Linked DNA regions of Arabidopsis thaliana. The protein of the gene in region 1 purifies or fractionates together with the protein of each later gene. This does not show direct contact. Each region holds a gene or a part of one and is shown in the gene's direction. Other genes may lie near its edges. The genes, in order: PHOT2, NPH3, PKS2 and PKS1.

Region 1 (6,189 bases):
TTGTTGACGTCAAAGTTCAGTTCATCAAAAAGATCTTATCTAATGAGAAATGCTTTTTATAGAAGTGTACCTTAAAACCTTGAATTAAAAAAAACATTGTATTGTGTTAAGCACAAAAACTGTGGAGGGATACATAATTTGAAGAGCCTCTGATAGTATTAACTCATTCTTCGCTATTTTTCTTTCTCCTGGGCTCACTCAATGCCTTCTTAGCCTTTGCCCACTCTTTCAAAGAAGTCGAGCTTCTCATAAATGTGCAAGTATCCCCCGACCCAACCTTTCTCTTAATTATCTTCTTCTTCGCACCCAATTTAGCTCCTTCACTCACATTCTTACCATTCAGACGCTGCCGATTCTCATCTAAACTTCTCACAGGGGTACTATCCACAGGGACTCCCGCAGCCACAAAACCACCGCTGCTAGATGCGTAATCTGTTTGTTTCATTGCACTTGCAGTCTGGTTAGAGTTGGAGAACTGGTTTCCTACATTGTTGATCACTCCAGCTGCTTCGCCCTTGTCTGAAGTTAAATCTGGGAAGAGTTGAGTTATACTGAATGAAGAAGTATTTTTGTCGCTAACCAGCTGAGTCCACGAAGCCTTCTGAAGCCATGAAGAACCTCCTGTTGACTTGTTACTAGCTTTCAGCGGTCCTTTACCCGCCTCTTCTTCATCTACAACATTTTCCTTCACGACTAAGCTTTCCTTTTCTGCATTCAAATCCTCTGCTACATTTTCATGCTTCTCCACATTCGACTTGCCGTCCACACTATCGCCCTCTGTGTTTGCAACAAATTCCAGGGGGACAGCTTCAACACTTGTGTCACTAACAGTATCTGCAAGTGATCCTGAGTCGTCTGAACCTACATCGTCATTAGCTGTGTCATCGCACATAGAGTCAATAGCTGTGTCATCTTCCACATTATCACCATCATCGCTCTCAGCCATAGAGTTACTAACTGTGTCATCGGCCATAGAGTCAATAGCAGTGTCATTTTCCACAGCATCCCCATCATCACTCTCAGCCACAGAGTCACTAGCTGGGTCATCTGCCATAGAGTCAATAGCTGTGTCATCTTCCACAGCATCACTATCATCCCTCTCAGCCACAGAGTCACTAGCTGTGTCATCTGCCATAGATTCACAAGCTGTGTAATATTCCACAGCATCACTATCATCCCTCTCTATGTCATCTGCCATTGTGTCACTATCATCCCTCTTTATGTCATCTGATACAGGTAAATCCTCTGCCATGATTGTAGACGTTACACGCTTTCTTTTCGTCTTCTTCTTCAAATTTTCTCGGCTAGGAAGCCCAGCAAGATCAGTGTTGCGTGGTGCAGGTTGTACTGCTTTACTGGAGCCAACACCTGGCAAGAAACTGGATACACTAAAATCATTGCTGTTCCCATTTGCCATAAGTGATTTCCAGGAAGACTTTTGGGACCAGGAAATATTGTCGATTGACTGCTCAAGATCTTTTGTTCTGCTCGGTTCATCCGATGATTTATCTGGTACCACTTCAGAAGGCTTCTTCTTTCCACGTATGGCCTGTGAAGATTCCTGTCTTCCAGTTTCCTCTAGGCTGATTGTTTGCCTATTCTTGCTTGGATGAGTAAGGTTCCCTTTTCGTCCTTCACTATATCCTTCTTCACTTGGTGTTTTTTTGTTGAGAATTGATTTCTGAGTTACAATCAAAGAAAGAGCCAGATCAGGGATGAGGTAGATGACTCATTATTGGGTTAAGTATAATAGAAAAAATATAAGTAGCACTACGTACCCGTTTTCTAGACAACATATCCAGCGCTGAGTCCATATCATTGCCACTAGATGCCACATTGATGATGAGGTTATCTTGGTCTGCTTCAATCTCATTGTCTTCTTCGGGGTCCACATTGTTTTTCTCAAAGAGCTTATTCATCACCGAGTTCATAACATTCACCTCGGCTTCTTGTCTTCCCACATTAACCGCTTCCAGATCATGAAGATGTATTTCCCGAGGAGTGAGAGAGCTGTTAGAGTGCTCTTCACAATCACAAAAGCTCCTTGGAAGAGAAGACGACACTGGAACACGCTGAAAGCTATACTTATGTTTACCAGTTCCACTAAGTGGCATAGGTTTCACCTGCACCACACATACGTAGCTCAAACCCTAATCTCTTACTACTCCTAGTACTAACTATGTCATATAAATGTTACAACTTTGAAGGAGCATTAGTAGTACCTTTCTGAGTCTGGGAAAGAAGATGTTAAGGTGAGTGGCAGGTGGTGAATCGGAGGGAGCTTTAATGGTGTTATCAGAGGTAGAAGACGCTGCCTCCCACTCTCGCTTTAAGCGAGCTAGATAATGCTCTTTTGCTTTCTCCAGTCTCAGCCTCCCTCCTTTCCAGACACATCCATTATACTGCCAAAATCGAATTAGGGTTAAGAATAACAAGAGTAAGGAGAGAGAGAGAGAGAGAGAGAGAGAGAGAGAGAGAGAGAGAGAGAGAGAGAGAGAGAGAGAGAGAGAGAGAGAGAGAGATCGAATTCACTCACTGTAGAGAAGAGCTTGGTGAGTGAATTGGTGGAAGATGGAGAGAAATCGATGTAGGCAAAGGAACGACCTTTGGTCCTGACGAATTCGACGGCATCGACGGTACCCATCGGAGAGAATATCTTGAGAAGATCATCTCTCCCGACGCTTTCTCCTAATCCGCCGACGTGAAGCCTAACGCCGCCGCCGCTGCTTTTTTCCTCCATTGCTGCTTGCTTCAGTTGGATTCAGTTTTCCCTCGCCTCTCCCTCACTTTCCTTACTTCTTAATCTTAACTAATAAGGCCCATTAGAGAAGACCCACTAGGACTTAATGGGCTTTTAGCGGGAAAATAATAAGGCCTAACAAGTTTTTAGGGGTCCCTTCTCTTTAATTTCATCGACATTATTTGAAACAGACAGTGAAAGAAGAAACAAATTGTGGATTCGTCGTCTGCGAAAGCATCTGGGAGAGAAGAAGCCACAGTCATTTTCTTAAACGTGTTCATTTTTCGTCTAATCAAATCATGGCGCATGTTCTGTTCTACTACAATCGTAAGTTTACTGGGTTTTATCTATTTATTGTTTATTCATTTTACATTGAAACATGTCTGAATTATTGTACTGGAAAAATTGATGTGAGGGGTGTAATAAATTCGTTTGATTATGAAGAAAATTTGTGAAAGAAGAGGGAATGATGAACAAGAGTGCACGTATTAAGAGGAAACAGAGTTGTGTGGTCCTTGACCTTGAGGGTGAAAAAGGGTCCATGTGAGTTTGATTATTGATAGCGATGTCTATCCTCCCAGGCTTCCGCATCGCTCATTTGCAGCCTCAGAAACATGATTGTCTTTTTAAAATAACTCAAATAATAATATAACTGGGTTTTGGAAACAGTACAGTTGTGTTTTTTAATTGGTCTATCTCTCTATCTTTCTCATCGTCTTTGCTCCTTTTAAAGACTGTGTACTATATTTCCATGAGTTGCAGCTGATAAAGCTACTCTGGTTGGTATATATATATTTTTCATTTATTTTATCTACTTCACCTTCTTTAACGTGTTTTGTTGATTTGCTTCTAAAGACTTTTAATGGCATTTATTACTTTGTTTCTCGAACCTACAGTTGTGTCTGCCTCTTCTTTCTATCTAACTTGTCTATGTGGTGTCTGGTTTTGATTTGCAGACTATTCATTACTCTGTTTCGCCATAAGAAAGAGAATAAAGAAACGTTATGGAGAGGCCAAGAGCCCCTCCATCTCCTTTGAATGATGCGGAGTCATTAAGTGAACGTAGATCTCTTGAGATTTTCAACCCTTCGAGTGGAAAAGAGACACATGGATCAACTTCTTCTTCTTCAAAGCCTCCTCTTGATGGCAACAACAAAGGTAGTAGTAGTAAGTGGATGGAGTTTCAAGATTCCGCTAAGATTACAGAAAGAACCGCTGAATGGGGATTGTCAGCTGTTAAGCCGGATTCGGGAGACGATGGCATTAGTTTCAAGCTGTCCAGTGAAGTGGAACGAAGCAAGAACATGTCTAGGAGGTCATCCGAAGAATCTACATCTTCTGAATCAGGGGCCTTCCCTAGAGTATCCCAGGAGCTCAAAACTGCTCTATCCACGTTGCAGCAGACTTTTGTTGTCTCTGACGCTACACAGCCTCACTGTCCCATAGTCTATGCCAGCAGTGGATTCTTTACCATGACTGGTTATTCTTCCAAGGAAATTGTTGGAAGAAACTGGTACTGCTCATCTCGTATCTTGCTTCTAGTTTCATTCCCAGTTATTAGTTAGAATAATATTGCTTTTGAAACCCATGCCAACTTACTCTGAAATGCTCTTAATCTTTGTGGGTAAAACGCCAGCCGGTTTCTGCAAGGGCCAGACACCGACAAGAATGAGGTTGCCAAAATCAGAGATTGTGTCAAGAATGGAAAAAGTTACTGTGGAAGGCTGTTAAACTACAAAAAGGACGGAACTCCCTTCTGGAATCTTCTCACAGTCACTCCTATCAAGGACGACCAGGGCAATACCATCAAGTTCATTGGGTACGTCCCTTAATTCCTCCCTGTTTTTCCCTAATTAATCGACTGTCCCTCGATCAATCATTTTCACATTTCCATCTGCAGGATGCAGGTTGAAGTTAGCAAATACACAGAAGGGGTAAATGATAAAGCATTGAGGCCTAATGGACTCTCCAAATCCTTGATTCGATATGATGGTATCTGTTTTTTTGCATCTCTTCGTTAATTCAACAAGTTTTTTTTAGCCAAAAACAATGATATAATTTAGCAAAGAGTGCTGATCCACAATCTTTAACATGTAATGGTTTTGATGATGATATCAGCTCGCCAGAAGGAGAAAGCTTTGGATTCCATCACAGAGGTTGTGCAAACTATAAGACATCGTAAGTCTCAAGTTCAGGAATCCGTGAGCAATGACACTATGGTAAAGCCTGATAGTTCTACTACACCTACACCTGGTAGACAAACAAGACAGTCAGATGAGGCTTCAAAGTCTTTCAGGACACCTGGACGTGTTTCTACTCCAACGGGGTGAGTCTTCGTAACCACTAACCACCAGATTACAGTAGTCTTCCTGAACATAAAATAAGGCATATATATTGCCCAAAAAGTGTGATGGCAGTGCCAAAGTTTTGCAGAAACAACTTGCTATTATCATTGCCAAATAGTGGTAAAATATATACTACACAATCTCAATCTAGTTGTTGTGTTAGTCAATATTTAACTCATAGATAATTTCCATTCGAATACGAAGATGCAGTTGCAATCTCCTACTATTGTTCTGTTTCTTATTTCTCGTGTACTTTTGTAACTTTGTGCTGGGCCTTAGAATGTATCCTCTGACATGGATTGGGTAGTGAATTCTGAAGCTGTGTATATATATGTATACATATACACTCAAGGATTTCTGATCTAGCTTCGTGTAATGTGCAGGTCAAAGCTCAAAAGCTCGAATAACAGGCATGAAGATCTTTTACGTATGGAACCCGAAGAATTGATGTTGAGCACAGAAGTAATAGGGCAGAGGGACAGTTGGGACCTATCGGATAGAGAAAGGGATATACGCCAAGGGATTGATCTAGCTACCACTCTTGAGCGCATAGAGAAGAATTTCGTCATCAGTGATCCTCGTCTCCCTGATAATCCCATTGTATGTTTTTTCTGTCTAAAATTGAGATGAACGTTTTTTTCTCGAACCTTAATGTATCAATTGTAGAGTATATTTCATATATTGATTGTTCTTACTCAAGTGTTCTACTATGTTTGTAAGCATATAATCTTGAATTGATAATGGAAATCGTTTTATTTGCAGATCTTTGCATCAGACAGCTTTCTTGAATTGACAGAGTATTCACGCGAGGAAATATTGGGGAGAAATTGTCGGTATGTGAAAATTCTTCTTTTTGTATCTTCTACTCATGAGATTTATCATGCCTTTTAAGTTATGCAGTCTTCTCCGGCTGCGTTTTTGTTGTTTCGTGATATGGATATGTGCAAAGTGGTTGGCTTCAGGTTTCTTCAGGGGCCAGAGACAGATCAAGCGACTGTCCAGAAGATAAGAGACGCAATTAGAGATCAGAGGGAGATTACTGTGCAGTTGATAAACTACACTAAAAGCGGTAGTTATCAGATACTGAACATTTTAAAACGATCA
Region 2 (6,908 bases), 2.2 Mb from region 1:
TGATAAAACAGCTTTAGCATCATCAAGTCTTCCGTGAGTCACAAACCCGTGAATAAGAGTATTGAAGATCACAATTTCCGGCTTCGGAATTCTGTAAAAAAGATCTTTTGCAGCATCAACCCGGCCTATCTTACATAGACCATTCATCAAATAACCATAAGTTATATCATCAGGAGCAAACCCTCTAATCAGCATCCGGTTCACCATTTTAGCAGCTTCGTTAATCCGATCAAACTTACAGAGACCAAGGATAACATCGTTGAAAGTCTCAGCATCAGGAACACATCCCATCAGAAACATCTCCTCTAAAAGCTGAAGCGCTTCGTTCACTCTATTACACTTCGATAACGAATGTATAAGAGTCTGGTAAATAACAGAGTTTGGGACACATCCATGTTTCGTCATGTCCCTAAGCAGAGACAGAGCCGAATCTATCTCATTAACAGCACAAAAAGCTTTCATCACAACACCAAATGTGAAAAGCGTTGGAGGAATCTTTCGGCTAAGCATATCGTAGAACACATTAGCTGCAACTTTATGACAATTACCAGAAACCAAAATCTCCAAGACAACATTGTAAGATTTAAAAGTGGGTTCACAGGAATAGACATTCCTCATCTCCAACATCAATCTCGTTGTCTGTCCAGGAAAACCAGCTTTGTCGTAATCTCTCATAATCGAAATGAAAAGAGATTCTTTAAAAACGATTCCTTCATCTTTCATCTGAATTAACAATCTATCAATGGTTTTAAACTCACCATTCGCACCAAGCTTACCTATAAGAACTTGATACACATCGAAGGAGTGACGATAACCGTTTTGAGAACCGGTCCATGAGAACAACTCCATTGAAGTGGATACATTGAGAGGTAACTCAAGTAGCTTATAGAGCTGAAAGGGAGTTATCTTGTGAAATGAATTCCTTAGAGAATCCAGATCGAATGGTTTAAGGAGCTTCTCCCATTCGTTTGCTGAATCGGTACCACCGATTTCCGGTGAGCTGCCGCCGCCATCATCTCCGCCGCCGCCGGAAAATCTAGAGGAGAGACTTGCGTAGTAGCAGATTCTTTGCAAAGACTGTGATCTTCTGCTCACATCTAGAGCTAGCTTTGATCTCGCTAGCATAACCATAAACCCCACATTAATCAGACAGAATCTCTCTGGTTCCTACGAGCGAGAAGAACTTTAGAACATCGGTAATTACCAATTTACCCTTCTGGTCTCTGAAACCTTATAAGTTAGAGGGCTCGAATATGTTTTATTCTTTTTATTTTGGGCCCTGTTTTCTTTGTTTTTATTTTGGGCCCCTTCTGAGCCCAAACAAAAACAAGAGAAGTAACCTTGAGTTGATCCTGGCCGTTAGATTTATTATAACGTTTTCCTTCAGCCGTCGGATGAGTATATCCTGTCTGATTTGAACCGACAATTTTATATTAGCTTTTAACATATGAAGGCGACGTGGCATTTGTATTACCACGACCATCATCAATAATGTAAGCCATAAAAAGATCACATGATTATTACTTTGTGTATTTAAAAGAAAAAAGATATTGATCTCAAGTGTTTTAACCCCTTGTAACAACAATCCAATCAAGATGTGGCCATTATATAATTATTATGGCATTGTATATGTGGGGGTAAGAGTTTTAACGTGGTGATTGGATTGGTTATTGAATATGACCATCAATCATTTTATCATATGGAAATGTTTCTATAGTACTATCTACTATGTGATTGAAACACTTTATAACATGAAAACATAACTAAAGAGGATTAGTTGTACAAAAAAGTGTTATCATTCTAATCTAATTACTGAAAAAAATTAAAATTGAAAGTGACTAATATTGTTGTACCATATGAATTCACAATTTAATATTTTCATCGTAAACGTTTGATGGTTTTCTTGTAGTAACACTAGTTAGATTTAACACATGAATACAAGCTGGTTCTGCAAATACTTTGCATAGAATCCTAAGTTACTTGGAGAATTCCATAACCTATTTTTTGTTGTTGTCGTAGGAAATTACCATTCTAATCAAAAGTTACTTGGAGAAATGCATGGTCTATATATAGTAGCAAAGAGAAGATTACGACTAATACATATATAACCATCGTGTGTATTAATGTACATAGCTGACATTCTTATGGACCACTTCTTCTATCTCGATCTCCATTTATGTATGTATGAACAACCTTTGTTTTTAATGCTCTCTTTTAAATTTCCTCTAACTTTTCCTTCTATTATCTTTGTCATCAACCAACAACCATTGAAAACTATTGTGAATACAATTTCTACAACATCATATGTTTATCTCTTGAAATAATATCTAATGTCATAACTTCTCAAAATTGATAGTATGACTTTAATCTACTTTTTGTAACCCGTAGGTGGTTAGTGCTTTTGAAAGTAATCACTTTCACATTTCAGTATTTATAGAGAACTCATTTAGATGTAACAGTAACTCAAGGTTTCTATAATTGGTATAGAACTAATCACATTGGAAACATTTATGAATTGGGGGAAAGAAAGAGGAATAATATGAAAGAAAGTAAGAGAAAAGATATGCAAGATTGAGAAGAGAAGTTAGGGAAATGGACCCATATAAGAGAAGCCTCAAAGAGGAAAAGAAAGCAAAGATACCAAAAGAAAGTTAAATGCAATGTACATAGAGATGATTCAACATTTTATCAAAAAACAGACAGGCAAAGAAGAAGGAACGAGGCTTTGTCATAGTTAATGACACTCACTCTCCAACTTGTCCCTCCCCAAATCTTATATATATATTTTATTTTTTTCTCTACTTAACCAACTCATATCTTCACTAAAAAACATACTACAATGTCAGTAAACTAATAATGTTTAATGTAAAATCTAAAAAAGACAGATTGAATTATATGATAAGAATGGGCAAAATTTATATCACTAAATTTCAAAAAAATTATGATAATTGAAGAAGCAGAGAGTTTTAAGCCCATTACATCACAGGCTGTTAGATATATGAGAGACTTTGGTTTTGAAAATCTCTCTGAGAAAATAGACAATTCAGAGAAAGCTCCAATTCTCGAAGCATCCCATGTGGGGATAATATCTCCCTCTCTCTTCTCTCTCTCTTTGCCACTCTCTCTTTCATCTTTATAATCAAAACTAATCAATCTCTCTTCTCTTGGAAACTCTTTGTTTCACTTTGATCTTCTCATCCTCTATATATCTTCCCTTGGTCCTTTCTTGCTTCCAACTACAGAGAGTGTTAACTTGTGTATGATGTGGGAATCTGAGAGCGACGGTGGGGTTGGAGTTGGAGGTGGAGGAGGAAGAGAGTATGGTGATGGAGTTTTGAGTTCTAACAAGCATGGCGGCGTCAAGACTGATGGGTTTGAGCTTAGAGGCCAATCTTGGTAATATCCTCACACTTTCTCTACAGTCTCTGCAAAAAGAACATGTTTCCTTGTTAAGGAAGTTAATACTCATATCAAAAACCTTTGCCTATGATTAGGTTTGTTGCTACGGATATCCCCAGCGATCTTCTGGTTAAGATCGGCGACATGAACTTTCACCTTCACAAGGTAACTTCATATTCTTGAGTCAATATTTTTAAGCTGGAACTAGAGAAAGTTTATGGATTTAAAAGTGTTTCTTTCCTTTCAGTATCCGTTGCTGTCACGTAGCGGGAAGATGAACAGATTGATCTATGAGTCACGAGATCCTGACCCGACGATCCTTATTCTTGATGATCTACCTGGAGGACCAGAAGCGTTTGAGCTTGCATCCAAATTCTGCTATGGAGTTCCCGTGGATCTCACGGCAACTAACATATCAGGATTACGTTGTGCAGCTGAGTATCTTGAGATGACAGAGGATCTTGAGGAAGGGAATCTAATCTTCAAGACAGAAGCTTTTCTCAGCTATGTGGTTCTGTCTTCATGGAGAGACTCCATCTTGGTCCTGAAGAGCTGTGAAAAGCTCTCACCTTGGGCTGAGAATCTTCAGATTGTGAGAAGGTGTAGTGAATCTATCGCTTGGAAAGCTTGTAGTAATCCAAAAGGTATTAGATGGGCTTACACAGGGAAAGCTCCATCTCCATCAACAACAAATTTCGCGGGTTCTAGTCCGAGATGGAACGAATCAAAAGATTCAAGTTTCTATTGTAGTCCGAGTAGGAACACTAATAGCCAGCCTGTTCCTCCAGATTGGTGGTTCGAAGATGTCTCCATCTTAAGAATCGATCATTTCGTTCGTGTAATCACTGCAATCAAGGTACTACTACACATAGGTTATTTTTCTCTCAAGCATTTTCACAAACACTTGGTGTACATATCTCAATCCTCTATCCATTGAAACAGGTGAAAGGTATGAGATTTGAACTACTCGGAGCTGTAATAATGCATTACGCCGGAAAATGGCTTCCGGGTTTGATCAAAGAAGGAGGAGTTGCAATAGCTCCAGCAATGTCCTCCGCCATTGGAGGAGGATTAGGTTTAGGAGGAGACGAAATGAGTATAAGCTGCGGAAGCAACAGCAGCGGAGGAAGCTCCGGACCAGATTGGAAAGGCGGTCTTCATATGGTTCTCTCCGCCGGAAAAACAAACGGACATCAAGATTCCGTCGCTTGTCTCGCCGGACTAGGAATCAGTCCAAAAGACCAACGAATGATCGTCGAATCTTTAATCAGCATAATCCCTCCACAGAAAGATTCCGTCACTTGTAGCTTCCTCCTCCGTCTTCTTAGAGCAGCAAACATGCTCAAAGTAGCTCCGGCGTTGATCACGGAGCTCGAGAAACGCGTAGGGATGCAATTCGAACAAGCGACGCTTCAAGATCTTTTGATTCCTGGTTATAACAATAAAGGAGAGACAATGTACGATGTTGATCTTGTTCAGAGATTGTTGGAACATTTTCTTGTGCAAGAACAGACGGAAGGATCGAGTCCGAGTCGAATGTCGCCGTCGCCGTCGCAGTCTATGTACGCCGATATCCCGAGAGGGAATAACAACAATGGTGGTGGTGGTGGTGGTAATAATCAGAATGCGAAAATGAGAGTGGCGAGGCTTGTGGATAGTTATCTCACCGAAGTTGCTAGAGATCGGAATTTGCCGTTGACAAAGTTTCAGGTTTTGGCTGAGGCGTTACCGGAATCTGCTAGGACTTGTGACGATGGACTATACAGAGCCATTGATTCATATCTCAAGGTATATATATATTGAAGGTCTTTTTGGTAAATTCGTAGAATAGTTTTCAACATTTTTTTGGCTTAATTTTGTTGTGATAGGCGCATCCGACATTATCGGAGCATGAGAGGAAACGGCTATGCCGAGTGATGGATTGTCAAAAACTATCAATGGACGCATGTATGCACGCGGCTCAGAACGAGAGGTTGCCATTGAGAGTGGTGGTTCAAGTTCTCTTCTCGGAGCAAGTCAAGATCAGCAATGCTTTAGCCAACACATCACTCAAGGAGTCAACCACTTTAGGAGAAGCCATGGGTACGTATCAGCCTATGATCCCAAATCGCAAGACATTGATCGAAGCAACACCACAATCGTTTCAGGCAAGTAAGAGAAAACACTCATCAAAATTCACACAAATTCCTTTTTTCTAATTCCTCTACTTTGAATGCAGGAAGGATGGGCTGCAGCCAAGAAGGATATTAACACGTTGAAGTTCGAGTTAGAGACGGTGAAGACCAAGTACGTCGAGCTTCAGAACGAGATGGAAGTGATGCAACGACAGTTTGAGAAGACGGGGAAAGTGAAGAACACGCCATCTTCTTCGGCTTGGACCAGCGGTTGGAAGAAGCTAAGTAAACTGACTAAGATGAGTGGACAGGAGAGCCATGACATATCCTCTGGAGGAGAACAAGCTGGTGTTGATCATCCACCCCCCAGGAAACCAAGACGATGGAGGAACTCAATTTCATGAAGTGATAGTGATGGTTTTGTATCTTCTTGATTTTGATTCTTTGAAAAGAAAAAGCTTTTGTTTGTTCCTAATTTGTAATGTTTATTGGTTTCTAATATGGAATAAGTGACATAAACGATTCGATTTTTATCACAAACCAAAAAACGCCATTTGTTTATTACAAAACCATTTAACAATACAACAATAGAGACACAACAATACCAGTAGCATGTGGGTTGAAGCAAAAGACAAAGGAATAGTTTGCATTATTACAGACACTCAAATTAATTACATGAACATGACATCAATATTTCATAAAAATCATGGACCCATCTAGTCATCATATGGACAAAAGAGTGTGTGTGGGTCAGAGATATTTTATTACCTTAGGGGAGATTCATAGATCACGCGAGCTTGAGATGAGACTTTGAATATTTGCCTTTTGATTTCACCATCCACACTCAGCCAAAAAAGATAATCATTGTCCATCAATGACCATGACGACTTTGGCTTTTCATTCCACACAGAGAGAAGAAGAAAGTGACCTCTTTTCTTCTTTAACTTTTTGAAATTTGCAGTAGCATATATAATACTTAAAAGTAGTCCACTATATACAGCTAAAAAGCTGGTGCAGAGGATACGTACCCAAAAACCCACTTCACACGTTTTAACTCGTCAGAATCTTTCACGCCTTATCTGTCTGCAGATTTCTTGTTCCCCATGTTGTCTCTTTAAGCAACAAGATTGGTGACTTGTGAGTGGTGGAGCTTTGGTTCTTAACCTCTGTGGAGATTAAGTCTCGTTTCAGCAACTTTAGGTAATCAATTGCTTCGTCCAGAAGTAAGAGCGCTTCGTTTCCTTTTGCACCAGGGACTACGCTCTCGAGTATTTTCAGAGCTGTGCGGATCTTGTCTTTCTTCGACTGCTCGTTGCTCAGACCAGAACCAGTGTCCTCTTTGGTCGATATGGTTTTTGATTCAGGGAGCTTTTTGTCCTTAAGAAAGGAAGATCC
Region 3 (5,264 bases), on another chromosome or scaffold:
GACAAAACAAACATAAGCTAAGAGTTGATATGTTATTTTGACATTGTAGTGATCATAGGAATGAGTTTTCTACCTGAAGAAAAGTGAGTAGCAAAATAACTCCCGAGTTCCAGAAACCGTGTATGACCATTGGGGTAATGAGATTGCGGGTTTGTGCATATGATAATCCCAAAACACTTCCTAAACCAAAAGATACTTATTGTTCATCCAGAAATGTTCATAACCATGAGAAAATGCAAATGGTTTTGTTTTTAGTTATGTTTTACCTAGAATAAACAGCTGCGGGAATTCACCAGGTGTGAAATGGGCAAGGGCAAACGCAGCTGAGCTGATGATGATCGCTATTGGGGTCGGGACCCTGAAATACAGAACGTAACAAAATGTAGTAAGCTTTTGTCCAGAACCAAATGAGAAAAAAGAACAGAGGTTTTACCATTTGGTAAGAGAGACCATGAAGAATCCGCGAAACACGGTCTCCTCCAGAAGTGGAGCAAGGATTCCAGTTATGCCCACTAAGCTTAAGGTGCTGTATTATGTGCAATGTGTGATCAAATTCTAGTATTAACGCACATCGCAGTTTCTATTTCTTTGAGGAAATACCTTATGTTTGAGGATCCAATTAATGGAAGAAGCTTCATCAAAGAGTCTACCTGAAAACATCACACTAGGCCTCATTACTATTATCCAACAAATATTTCGAAAACAAAACATAAAGCATGGTTTTGAATTCTCCTAACCTCCCTTTCAGGTGCTTCTGTCCTGAACACGGATAAAACAACACCTGTTAACGCAATAGCACCAACAGCACCAACCAGACCGATTCCACCCCACACAAGCCATCCTTTTTGCAGGTTGACGGGTTGTCTCAAATCTGACGATCGAACAAACAGTCAACTACCAATAAAAGAGCAAACCATGCTGATAGAAAAAAAAAAAAAAAAAAAAAAAACGTACCATAGCGAAGAATATCTTCAGGAAGTGGGTCGAAGGTTTTGGCAACAGTGAATATGACAGCAAGTACCACCGCGGTTGTTAGGCTGCCAAATATTTAGACAATGTTATTCAACATAAGCCAAACCTCAAGAGAGATAACTAATTTTACAATGTGAAATCAGCTAAAGCAACGAGATTATATAATGAGTTTACATTAACAGAGTAAAAAAGAGCAAAGAATACACAAAAGAGTAGTATTTTTTTGGTTACCCTTGATCCAGGAACAAAATCTCCGCCTTATCGTCCAAGGTCAGTTTCTCAACGTCGATTCCTAAAAACGGTATGACTGCCATCTCGGTTAATCCTGTCAAAACAAAACTGCCTGGGAACAAAATTAATCTCACTCCATGCATTACACAGAGAATAGTCACTGAACATTAAACTATTTAACCATAACAGAGAGATTATCTTTCAGATCAGTCTACTCAACCATCACATTTATCTTAGCACACAGTCTATGTACTTTCATCAAACTCCAACCCTAAAGTCATCAAAAGGGAAAGCTTTTGATGAGAGTACCTTAGTGCACAAGCAAACGAAGTTAACGAAACTGTCTGCCATCCCCATGGAACTTCCCATCTCTGAAGTATCGGCCACTCTGAGCTACCTCCTTGTAACTACAACAAATATAACAATCAAAACTTCAAATAATTTCTCAAAGGTCTAGTCTTTTTTCACATTCCAATAGAATTTGGATTCAATTGAACAAGTTACATAGAGCTGCCTCAGAAAAATTCAGACCGGAAACTAAACAAGAATCTAATTTAGATAGAGTCAGTGAGACAGTAACCTTTCCCTCTCCTCCAGGTTCCTTTCCAGAGTTGAAAATGCAGGCCGATCTCCATTTCTTCCGATTAACCGTAAATAACCGGCGGCTAGCAAATCCTGGAGAAAACCGGCTCAAACCGCCGTAAGTACAAGTCTTCGGAAGAATTAACCTCCTTGAATCGGATAAACATAGAAGAGACGAAGATTGAGATAAACACGAGATTATCTGAGAAACCATTTTGAAATTTTCTGTTGTTCTTAGAGAACTTCCACACATGAACCAACACGATTATCAGATTGAGGAAGAGGATAAGATCCGACTAAAACGAGCGGGTAGAAAAAAACCGTTACTTACTTAAAATAACGTTGTTTAAGGCCCATTTATGTCAGTATAGGCCCAAAGCCCATTAACGACCAACTAACTCGACGACAAGTCTTTGTCAGTATATCACAAAATACGTACATCCCTCGTGTCTTCTAATTTGTAATTTTGTTCCTTGGGAGAATCATGTCCACTATTTTTCTTTTTTCATTTTCCTTATAACCAAGACAAAATATAATTAATATTTTGTTTATACATTAGCACAAAATCACTGGCAAATAGGCAGTCTTGTCCCAGTAATGGAACCCACACGACATAGCTTCAAAAAAAAAACAAGGAACTTCCTCATTTCTTCTATTTATATTACTCAAATCTAAATCATCCCTAAGAAATAGTAATACACAAAAAGAAACAAAATGGTGACCTTAACTTCATCTTCTTCAACTCCAAACGTATCTTTTGATTTCATGATGAACAATAATAATAACAGTAACAATCTCTATGGTCCTTTCTCTTCTTCTTCTACTTCTTTCTCTTACTTGACAAGCAAGGAAGATGCTCTCACCCAGAAGAACCTAATGAGTGGTATCACCAATGATGTTCTTGGAATTAACAAGAAAGCTTCTGAAGATTTGGAGATCAGTGTGTTTGGAGCTGAGAAGTACTTCAATGGAGATATGGATTCTGACCACAGTCCTAGACTTGTGTCTCCTCTGCCAGATCCAGAAGTTCCAATAGAGAGAATCTTTGTTGGTCCGAAGCAAAGCTCGAAGAATTCCTCGGAAACTCCTAGTCTTCGGTCTGAATCCAGTTGGAATAGCCAGAGTTTGTTGCTTCAGAGCAAATATGTAGAGAAGAAGAAGAACATCAAGAAAAACTCTAGTTGCAACAGTTACTTTCAGGAGAAGGATATGAGTAGCAATCACAAGGTGAGTAATAAGAAGAGTTTTCTCGCTACTCTTGGCTGCAGATGCGTGTGTTCGAACTGGAGTTCAGTGGATGTCGTCGACGACAAGAGAAGAAGCTCTGGTCTGAAGAAGATCAAGACTCAATTGAGTTTCTCTGGAGATCTAAGCTCGGAGATGAAGATTCATCAACAACAACAAGAAGCAATGCTAGAGCAGAGGAAGTCTCTGGAAATATTTGGATCTCCTCTTATTGAGAAGAGAATCATTCAGAAGAAATTTCCATGGGAATACTCGAGCTCTGCGAAAAAAGAAGAACATGGATTCTCTGTGAAGTATGAAGAAGAAGAAGATGGGAGTGTGAGCGATGTAAGTACGGATCTTTTTGAGATTGAGAGCTTAACAGGGAAGGCAAACCCTTTTCTTGCAAGGCAAGGAAGTAGTGATCCAGACTCACCAGATGGTTATGCACCAAGTGAGGTAAGCATACAATGGAGTGTAGTGACAGCAAGTGTAGCAGATTTCTCTGTTATGTCTGAATGTGCTACGAGTCCCGTCAAAAAGAACCGGTCTTTTCAGATTCCTCGAATCCCTATCATGGCAAAATCAAACCGAGAAATCGCGCCTCAGAGACGGAAATCTAGCAGTAGCGGTTTATTAATGGGATGCAAGAGTCATAAATCTGTCAGAGTTTCTGGTGATTCATACACAAGCATGAACAGAACACCGAGCTATGTTCCAAGATTCCCTGTAGAAGCTAATCCAACAAGCACTGAAACAAGAAGGAGGATCAGCAGTAGTTCTGTTTCTCACACGCAATCGCCTTTTTTGTATACTTAATTATGCCAAAAACCTGAGCTCCTTTCGTTTTACATGTAAAATGTCTATTGAGTGGAAAATATTTGATTTGCTAATACCATCTTCATATTGTTGTACCTGAAAACAGTAGTTTTTGATTTAACTGGTTTATTAAGGAAGAATGTCGATAGAGAAGTGTAAATCAATCTGTATCATCAATCAATACTTATCTGCTGACCACAAATGAGTAAAAGATGAAATGTGATGCCAAGAACTCATCTATTGTTGCCAGAGATTATAAGGAACTGCACCATGTGAACAATAGACACTTGGGTCTAATCCGCAAATAAGACATAACCAAGAGTGCAATTCCATGTGAAATATTAAGATGTGATTGTAACCTTTTGTTGACTTAGGAGACATAATTAAATGCAGCACGTAGACTAGACACAAAACACATTTGGTCCACCTCATTTTCATGTGCTTGTCTCAAGAATAGAAAGATAACCTCATTAGGCTTAGATTTAACGGTTTAATCAAAGACCGTACGAGTTGCCTAAAAGAGCCTTTAATGAGGAAACTCAATCAAACAATGATAGTGTCCTTTCACCTAACATGTCTTAAAAGCCACTCCAGAGTCTTCTGGTCCAGAACTCATCTCCAGTGTCAAGACCATGTGATGATAATGAGATAAAGTAGACGTCGACAAAACCTTAATTGTGTCATTGATGATGATATGTCTCTGTAACCAACTCAGGAGGAATGTTAGGTTTTGGGAAAAAGATTGATTTGTCATACAGTTTAAAGTTTTAGTTCAAGATTCAGATCTTACAGCTGGATCTAATCAAGAAACAACCTTTTGATATTAAACCCAATCAACCATGTCACAAAGTATCAATAGATCTTGAAGATAAGTATTGTATCCTTTTCAAAGGTCCACTTTTGAAATAATTGAACAGTGACTTCATTTAGTCTATGAAACTAACTATATAGAGAAAAACTACCCCGTTGCTGCCATGTTTGGAGAGGATAAGAACAACAAAAGCGAGAAGCCCTTTGCATAAAAGAAAGAATCAACGACTCTGCGTATGTCAATTCGTAACAAAGGAGATCAATGAGACTCTCACAGGTCTCAAAACCTGGAATTATAAAGCAGATAATAATAACAGAGAAGATCTGAAGTTTTGGCTATTACAAGATAAATTTACTGCTGGCTTACACAGAAACATATGCCCGCAGATCGAAAAAAGGATAGATTGGAATTGTATGTACAATTACAAGTACGCAAAGGTTACAGTGGTTCTCTAACGAGCAAAATGATGACTTAGCATTGACAAGAAGCCCCAAAAGAAAGAAAGAGAAATTACTCATCTTTGGATACTTTGATTGGCCGTGTTTCAAATCCTCCATTGGCTCTTTTCTCCAATGAATAAGGCAAGTAAGTGCCGAGAATCCTATCCCACATAACAAAGAATGGC
Region 4 (6,198 bases), on another chromosome or scaffold:
CCCAAATAAATTTATAGGGCATTTTTCATACCTAAACCGTATTTTTATATGAATTTTATACTTAAATTTAAGAAAACGTATTTTTTTGCAAAACAAAGGTTCCGAACCCACGACCTCTTTGTCAATATACGGGATGTTAAACCATTTCGTCCAACAAATTTCACTGGTATATGCCAAACATTATCCATAGACAATAATGGGCATAACATGGAATAGATTGTGAGACCAAAAGGGATAACGCGGACATGAAGGTTGAGTTGGTTCACGTTGATTTTGAATGAGTGCTTTTCTTTTAGTTGTTTATGCAATTCACCATCTCTCCGTCTCCCCTAAGTTGTAAGAATCATGATTGATTCCATTTCCATCGTTCATTTGTTTCCATATATTGATCAGAAAATCAAAACAAATAGGTAGTTTAAACTACCATTAAAAAGGGATTTTGTGTGTGTTTGTTGCTTTTGGGACCTATCAGATTGTGTTTCTGGCTGTAGACTTTAGAGACAATTAGTGTGTTTTTCTGCAACTTGAAACGCCCCTATATTGCTAGCATTTGTTTACTGGGAGAGTTGACTCAAACCGAAATTATCAATCCTTAAATCCATAACTTTGAACAATATCAAAAATAGTTAAAGTTAAGTTAATTAGAGTTTTTTAATTGCCGCTTGATTACAACTTTTTGGAACACATTCCGGTTTGCAATCTTCAAAACTCTCGAGATATCTAAGAATTTTGTAAATTATGATTTTATATGCATATGGAAGCCTTTAGGATTACCAATCACCTCAGCTTTTGTAAATTACAATATGATTTTATATAAATATTGTAAAAGAGACATTTAAAAAAAAATCCTATATAATGATAATTAAAAATCAGATAACGGTACTAGAAAGTATACGTAGTACATCATAAATTGGTGATACCGTTTTGGTATATAATCAATTTTTATTAGTTTTGATATTTGTAGTCATGCTTGTGGTTTGTGGTAAATCTCATAATGATCATTTTTGTTTTAGTTGGACGAATAAAGGTTGTGGTTGAGAAACAAACACGTATGCTGTGGGATCAATTCGAACCATTCATACGTGATACGTCGACTATAGCAACTAATAAGCATATTTTATTAACTACATTACACAATATTCTTGATTGACAGATACATAGATTTTATGTTTGAATTAATTAATCTTTCGTTATGTTATATTTAACAAAAACAATACACATTATTTGATATGTATTATATGACAAGATACGATTCCATGAATTTTCTAATATACATTACACATAAATTATAGAGCGTACGTCAAATCATAACATAAAATATTACTATATTTAACAAAACCCAACTCGATGGTCTTTGTCAATATCTCCCCATGCAACAAAATACGTACATCCCTCGTGCTTTCTAAGTTTCTATTTTTGTATTTTTGTTCCTCAAGTGAAATCCATATCCACTACTTTTCTAGTTGAAAAAAGTTAGAAGTTAAAATACAAGTAAATCCAGATTCACTTGTCAGCTCAATCCTAACATGTCTTTGAAAATGTGTGTCCGAAAACTTGTCAGCCCATTATTAAGTATGTGAAACAATACTTTAATTTGAAGTAATTAAGAAAAACAATACATTAAATCTACTTTTTTTCTCATGTAAAACTCTTTGACACCATTGGTAAAATCCAATCATTTATCTTCCGATCTTATTGACGATGTCATTAATTTGTTAATTGTATGATGGTTAATAAGTTTATCCAATGTATGTTTTTGTTTAATTTATTTATCCAATGTATTATTTTATTTTAACATACAATGCTAATCAAAATTTTAGTTTAAGTAATTAAGAGAGTCCTTTAAGAATAATAAAAAAATGTTGGTTTATAACAGAGAGTCCTTTAAGAATAATAAAAAAATGTTGGTTTATAACAGAGAGTCCTCAATGCAAATCAGATTGTTTTAAACCTGCACACAATCCAACAAAATCATCTCTTCTTGCTAAAGCTAATCATCTCAATTATCTCACAAGGTTCAACAATCGTATGAATGTGAAGTATATAGCCATACACCCCCATCTGTAATTAACGTGTCCGAACGGATTGTACATTAGAGCACCTCCAATGTATAGGATTCATATAGTTTCTAAAAAAACAAAAAGTATTAATATTTTATTTTTATATCCAAAAAACAAAAAAAAACAACCTATATGAATAATAGAAACGATCCTCCCAATTTTAGAGATTCTCTCTCATCTCTTTTTTAATTTATAATTTTTTTTTGTAATTGTATGAGTTTCTACTAAAAAACTACGGTTGGAGTTGGTTTTAGTTGCTACAAATATAGTAGCAAATGTGTTTTAAATCGGAATCTTAAAAACGTATAGTAGTGCTAAACGTCTACGTACAAAATACGAATATTGAACGTATAAAAAAAAACACTTTCTGAAATCTGCAGGTTAGAAAATTATTTAAGAGATCCAGTTGCAATGTGAGTAGTATACTAGTACTGTTGTATTAATAAGTCCTAATCGAATTAAGACCATATCATTATAATTCCTTTCTTTTGTGGTCACGGGGGTAACATTATTTTTCGATTATTCTCCATTGATTGGCAAAGATTCATTATCCAAATATATAAATAAATCAGTTCACACACACAACAACTGGCCAATGACTCAAACTGGAACCCACTCACATTGATCAGATCATAACACTTTTAGCTTCAGAAAAAAAAAAAAAAACAGCTATCAAACATATCGTCTTGTTACTCTATTTATACCCTAATTCCACATATCTACACACAAGCAATAAAGAGAGAAAAAAATATAAAGCTACCAAAGAGAAAATGGTGACACTAACACCATCTTCTGCTAGTACCCCAAAAACATCTTTTGATTTCATGAAGAATAACAACAGTCACAGCAGTCTCTATGTTTCTTCTTCTTCTTACTTGAGCAGCAAGGAAGATGCTCTTGTCACGACCAAGAAGCTCATGGAACCAAGCAAAACACTAAACATGAGCATTAATCCAAAACAAGAGGAGTTTGGTGATGAGAAGAAAATGGTGAAGAAAGCTCCTGAAGATCCAGAGATTGGTGTGTTTGGAGCTGAGAAGTACTTCAATGGAGACATGGATTCAGACCAAGGTTCTAGTGTTCTGTCTCTGACAAACCCAGAAGTTGAGAGAACCGTCGTCGACTCGAAGCAGAGCGCGAAGAAATCTACTGGTACTCCGAGTGTCCGGTCTGAATCAAGCTGGAATAGTCAGAGCGTGTTGCTTCAGAACAAACTGGTGAATAGCTGCAACAGTTCCTTCAAGGAAAAGAAGAACAGTAATGGTCAGATTCAAAAGGTGACCAATAATAAGAAGAGTTTTCTCGCAAATTTGGGGTGTAAATGCGCATGCTCTGATGGGGATTCTGTAGATGTCGAGGAGAAAACCTCGGTCAAGAGAAGCGCTGATCCGAATATCTCTGTTATCACAATGAGATCTTCTGCGGATATGAACACAGAACTGATCAAGATTCAGAAGCAAGAGGAGTTATCACAGAGGAAGTCTCTTGAAGTTTTTGGATCTCCAGTGGCTATTGAGAAGAAGAGTAGTGTTGTTCAGAAGAAACTACCATTGCCTCCATGGAAATCGAGAACAGAGGAGGACGACACAAAGAGTGAAGGGAGTGATTCAAGCTCGGATCTTTTCGAGATAGAGGGTCTTACAGGGAACCCTAAACCTTTTCTTACGAGGCAAGGAAGTGATCCAGCTTCACCTACGTGTTATGCGCCAAGTGAAGTAAGCGTAGAGTGGAGCATAGTGACAGCAAGTGCAGCAGATTTCTCTGTTATGTCAGAATGTGCAACAAGTCCTGTAAGAAGAAACCGACCTACTCAGATTCCTCGAATCCCTATTACCGCTAAATCAGCACCGCAGAGACGGAAATCGAGTAGCAGCAGCGGAGGGAATGGTTTCTTGATGAGCTGCAAGAGTCATAAATCTGTTATGGTTTCTGGTGATTTAGACAGAAGAAGCAGCATGAACAAGACACAACCGAGTTACGTTCCTAGATTCCCAATGGAGACTACTAAACCTAAGAGTTTCGAAACACGAAGAAGGATCAGCAACAGCTCGATTTCTCACACACAATCATCTCTTCTTTATAGTCAGTGATTGCAAGAAAGTAAAAGAAAAAGATTTCAATCTCTGATCTCTCTTTATCTATAATTTCTACTGAGTGAGAAAGATATGTAAACTTATAATAATGTCTTGTTGAGTCCATGATCAAATCAATTTAAAAGGGTTTCTTAGAGACCTTTTGCACCTAAGAAAAAGTTACTCAAAGAGTGACAAATGATTGGAGAGTGAAAACAAAACATTATGGTCAGTTAAAAACACAGATCTCAAATTCAGCAAAATAAGCAGAGAGACATTCCAAAAATTGGCTCCACCAAGTTTTACCTTTTTTGGATTTAGTCTCAAGACTCAAGAGAGAGAGATATGAGTTTTGTCTTAGCTTGAAAGGGTTAAATCAAACGTACACTAGATTGACAGAAAGAGCTATTAATGAGGAAACTTAAATCAATGAAAGTGTCATATTACCTAACATATCTAAGATCTGGTCCTGAAACTCATCTAAAGGCCATGTATATGTCTGAAATAAAAGTAAGGTAGACAAAACCTTAATTGCTAGTTGACAATATGAGAGAAAAGAACCAAAGTGCCTTACTAAGACAATAAATGCAAAGAAAGATCAAAGATGTTTGTCTCTGTAGCCTACTCATAAGGGAAATGATCGAATTTACCCCAAATGATCTTATCCAGTTCACTGATATTTCTCTGTAAGATATTTCAAAAAGGGCTAATTAGATTTCAAGAAAAGACATAAATGAAACCAAGATGATGACATCAAAGCTAGTATAGCTAGTATGGGCTTAAAACCAAGAAACATACAGATCTTGAAGATAAGTATTGTACCCTTCTCAAAAGATATGAGAAAATAATTGACCACACTATATATAAAAATCTAATCATCTAACTACTTAGTTTTCATATGTGGATGAGAGAAGAACAACAAAAGCAAGAAGACATTTTGTGTTAAGAAAGCAAAACAAGATTACTCATCTTTGAATTCTTTGGTTGGACATTGCCTCAAAGCATCCGCTTGCTCTCTTTCGTCAAGTGAATAAAGGCAAGTTGGTAATGAGATGAGACTCTGATCCCACATGACAAAAAATGGCTGAGAGAAGTTTCTATTTAATTCCATAGAGTTTGTGGTGAAACATTCACTGTCTTGATGTGAAAGGGGTTCGTTCCTCAGGAGCCCACCAAGAGAAGGAGAAGAGTCTTGTGTGGTCGTTTGCTGCATCTCCATTACTTCATGTTACCAAAAGAATACAAAAAAACCCCAAACATAGGTTCAGGAACAGATGATGATTATAGAAATAACAATCTTATATTATCTGACAACAAAGTGGTAACAGTACATCAAAACTAGGATTCTTGACTGTCTCTAGCTATGTGTCAGTTCCTAATATCTTCCACAGAGAGAAGGAAATAATGATCATATGCCAACATAAAGAAAATCAAATCTTTTTAAAGCACCCCTAAGTGTATCATAACATGAGAAAAATAAACCTTTAAAGGAAAGATCACTCGATTTTCACAAAGATAACAATCACAGTGCTCTGCCTCTGATTACCAAGTAACGTTTAATGTTCAATTGCCCCGAGTGAAACCATTACCAGTTATTTCAAGAAGATCATAAACTCTACACTCTTTTTTGAAGAACCCATTGTTTAGATGTCGTAAGTAGTCCAGTTTCGTCTGAAATCTCTGTCTCTCTAAAGTATCCAATTCAATGAAATCAACAGGAATGTGGCAATGTGCCCATAAATCAACATTCAAAACATCGAAAACAAAGTCTCTTCTTTGGAAAAAAAAAAAAAAAAAAAAAGCCTCTTCTTTGTGTCTCTTTCCTAAACACAAAACGAACAAGCGCCACATAAACATAACAAAAGCAAATCAATTCATCATCTAAAACCGCTCCAAGAGAATCACTAAATTGTGATCAATGACGACGGTCCACGGCGAGATCAAGGAGACGGCGCCGTGTAAAAATTTCACCTTTGAATTTGATTGAGGAGGGACATATTCCACACGTGGCACCTAAAGAGTGGTTAATGATAAGTATCGACGCAAAGTAAGTATTTAACAATGAT

What was found.
Region 2: the proteins of PHOT2 (region 1) and NPH3 purify together in Arabidopsis thaliana (affinity purification with western blotting, with the first as the bait; one study listed by BioGRID). This does not show direct contact.
Region 3: the proteins of PHOT2 (region 1) and PKS2 purify together in Arabidopsis thaliana (affinity purification with western blotting, with the first as the bait; one study listed by BioGRID). This does not show direct contact.
Region 4: the proteins of PHOT2 (region 1) and PKS1 purify together in Arabidopsis thaliana (affinity purification with western blotting, with the first as the bait; one study listed by BioGRID). This does not show direct contact.

Annotation. Positions count from the first base shown.
Region 1 is NC_003076.8:23,521,027-23,527,215, forward strand, and holds the start of PHOT2 (phototropin 2), read left to right. Parts: upstream 1-2,798; 5' UTR 2,799-3,067; intron 3,068-3,103; exon of another isoform or gene 3,104-3,184; 5' UTR 3,185-3,519; exon of another isoform or gene 3,520-3,696; 5' UTR 3,697-3,744; coding exon 3,745-4,253; intron 4,254-4,376; coding exon 4,377-4,559; intron 4,560-4,640; coding exon 4,641-4,732; intron 4,733-4,858; coding exon 4,859-5,066; intron 5,067-5,468; coding exon 5,469-5,685; intron 5,686-5,847; coding exon 5,848-5,918; intron 5,919-6,047; coding exon 6,048-6,154; intron 6,155-6,189. Other genes in the region: ROS3 (RNA-binding (RRM/RBD/RNP motifs) family protein), read right to left, coding at 164-1,681, 1,779-2,123, 2,223-2,402, 2,537-2,740. UniProt on the Arabidopsis thaliana protein: Protein kinase that acts as a blue light photoreceptor in a signal-transduction pathway for photo-induced movements.
Region 2 is NC_003076.8:25,724,309-25,731,216, forward strand, and holds NPH3 (Phototropic-responsive NPH3 family protein), read left to right. Parts: upstream 1-2,817; 5' UTR 2,818-3,259; coding exon 3,260-3,396; intron 3,397-3,494; coding exon 3,495-3,564; exon of another isoform or gene 3,565-3,616; coding exon of another isoform or gene 3,617-3,646; coding exon 3,647-4,255; intron 4,256-4,341; coding exon 4,342-5,187; intron 5,188-5,267; coding exon 5,268-5,546; coding exon of another isoform or gene 5,547-5,597; intron 5,598-5,617; coding exon 5,618-5,917; 3' UTR 5,918-6,050; downstream 6,051-6,908. Other genes in the region: AT5G64320 (Pentatricopeptide repeat (PPR) superfamily protein), read right to left, coding at 1-1,131; transcription factor SAC51, read right to left, coding at 6,582-6,908. UniProt on the Arabidopsis thaliana protein: May act as a substrate-specific adapter of an E3 ubiquitin-protein ligase complex (CUL3-RBX1-BTB) which mediates the ubiquitination and subsequent proteasomal degradation of target proteins.
Region 3 is NC_003070.9:4,875,158-4,880,421, forward strand, and holds PKS2 (phytochrome kinase substrate 2), read left to right. Parts: upstream 1-2,348; 5' UTR 2,349-2,499; coding exon 2,500-3,828; 3' UTR 3,829-4,150; downstream 4,151-5,264. Other genes in the region: AT1G14270 (CAAX amino terminal protease family protein), read right to left, coding at 74-180, 267-358, 434-526, 601-650, 738-871, 955-1,037, 1,204-1,311, 1,513-1,610 and 1 more; SBH2 (sphingoid base hydroxylase 2), read right to left, coding at 5,150-5,264. UniProt on the Arabidopsis thaliana protein: Acts predominantly in the phot1 pathway. Involved in the leaf positioning and also in the phot2 pathway controlling the leaf flattening. Component of the network that modulates the very low-fluence response (VLFR) branch of phyA signaling.
Region 4 is NC_003071.7:853,101-859,298, reverse strand, and holds PKS1 (phytochrome kinase substrate 1), read left to right. Parts: upstream 1-2,573; 5' UTR 2,574-2,830; coding exon 2,831-4,150; 3' UTR 4,151-5,222; downstream 5,223-6,198. UniProt on the Arabidopsis thaliana protein: May be responsible for light-regulated cytoplasmic sequestration of phytochromes or may be a negative regulator of phytochrome B signaling. Component of the network that modulates the very low-fluence response (VLFR) branch of phyA signaling.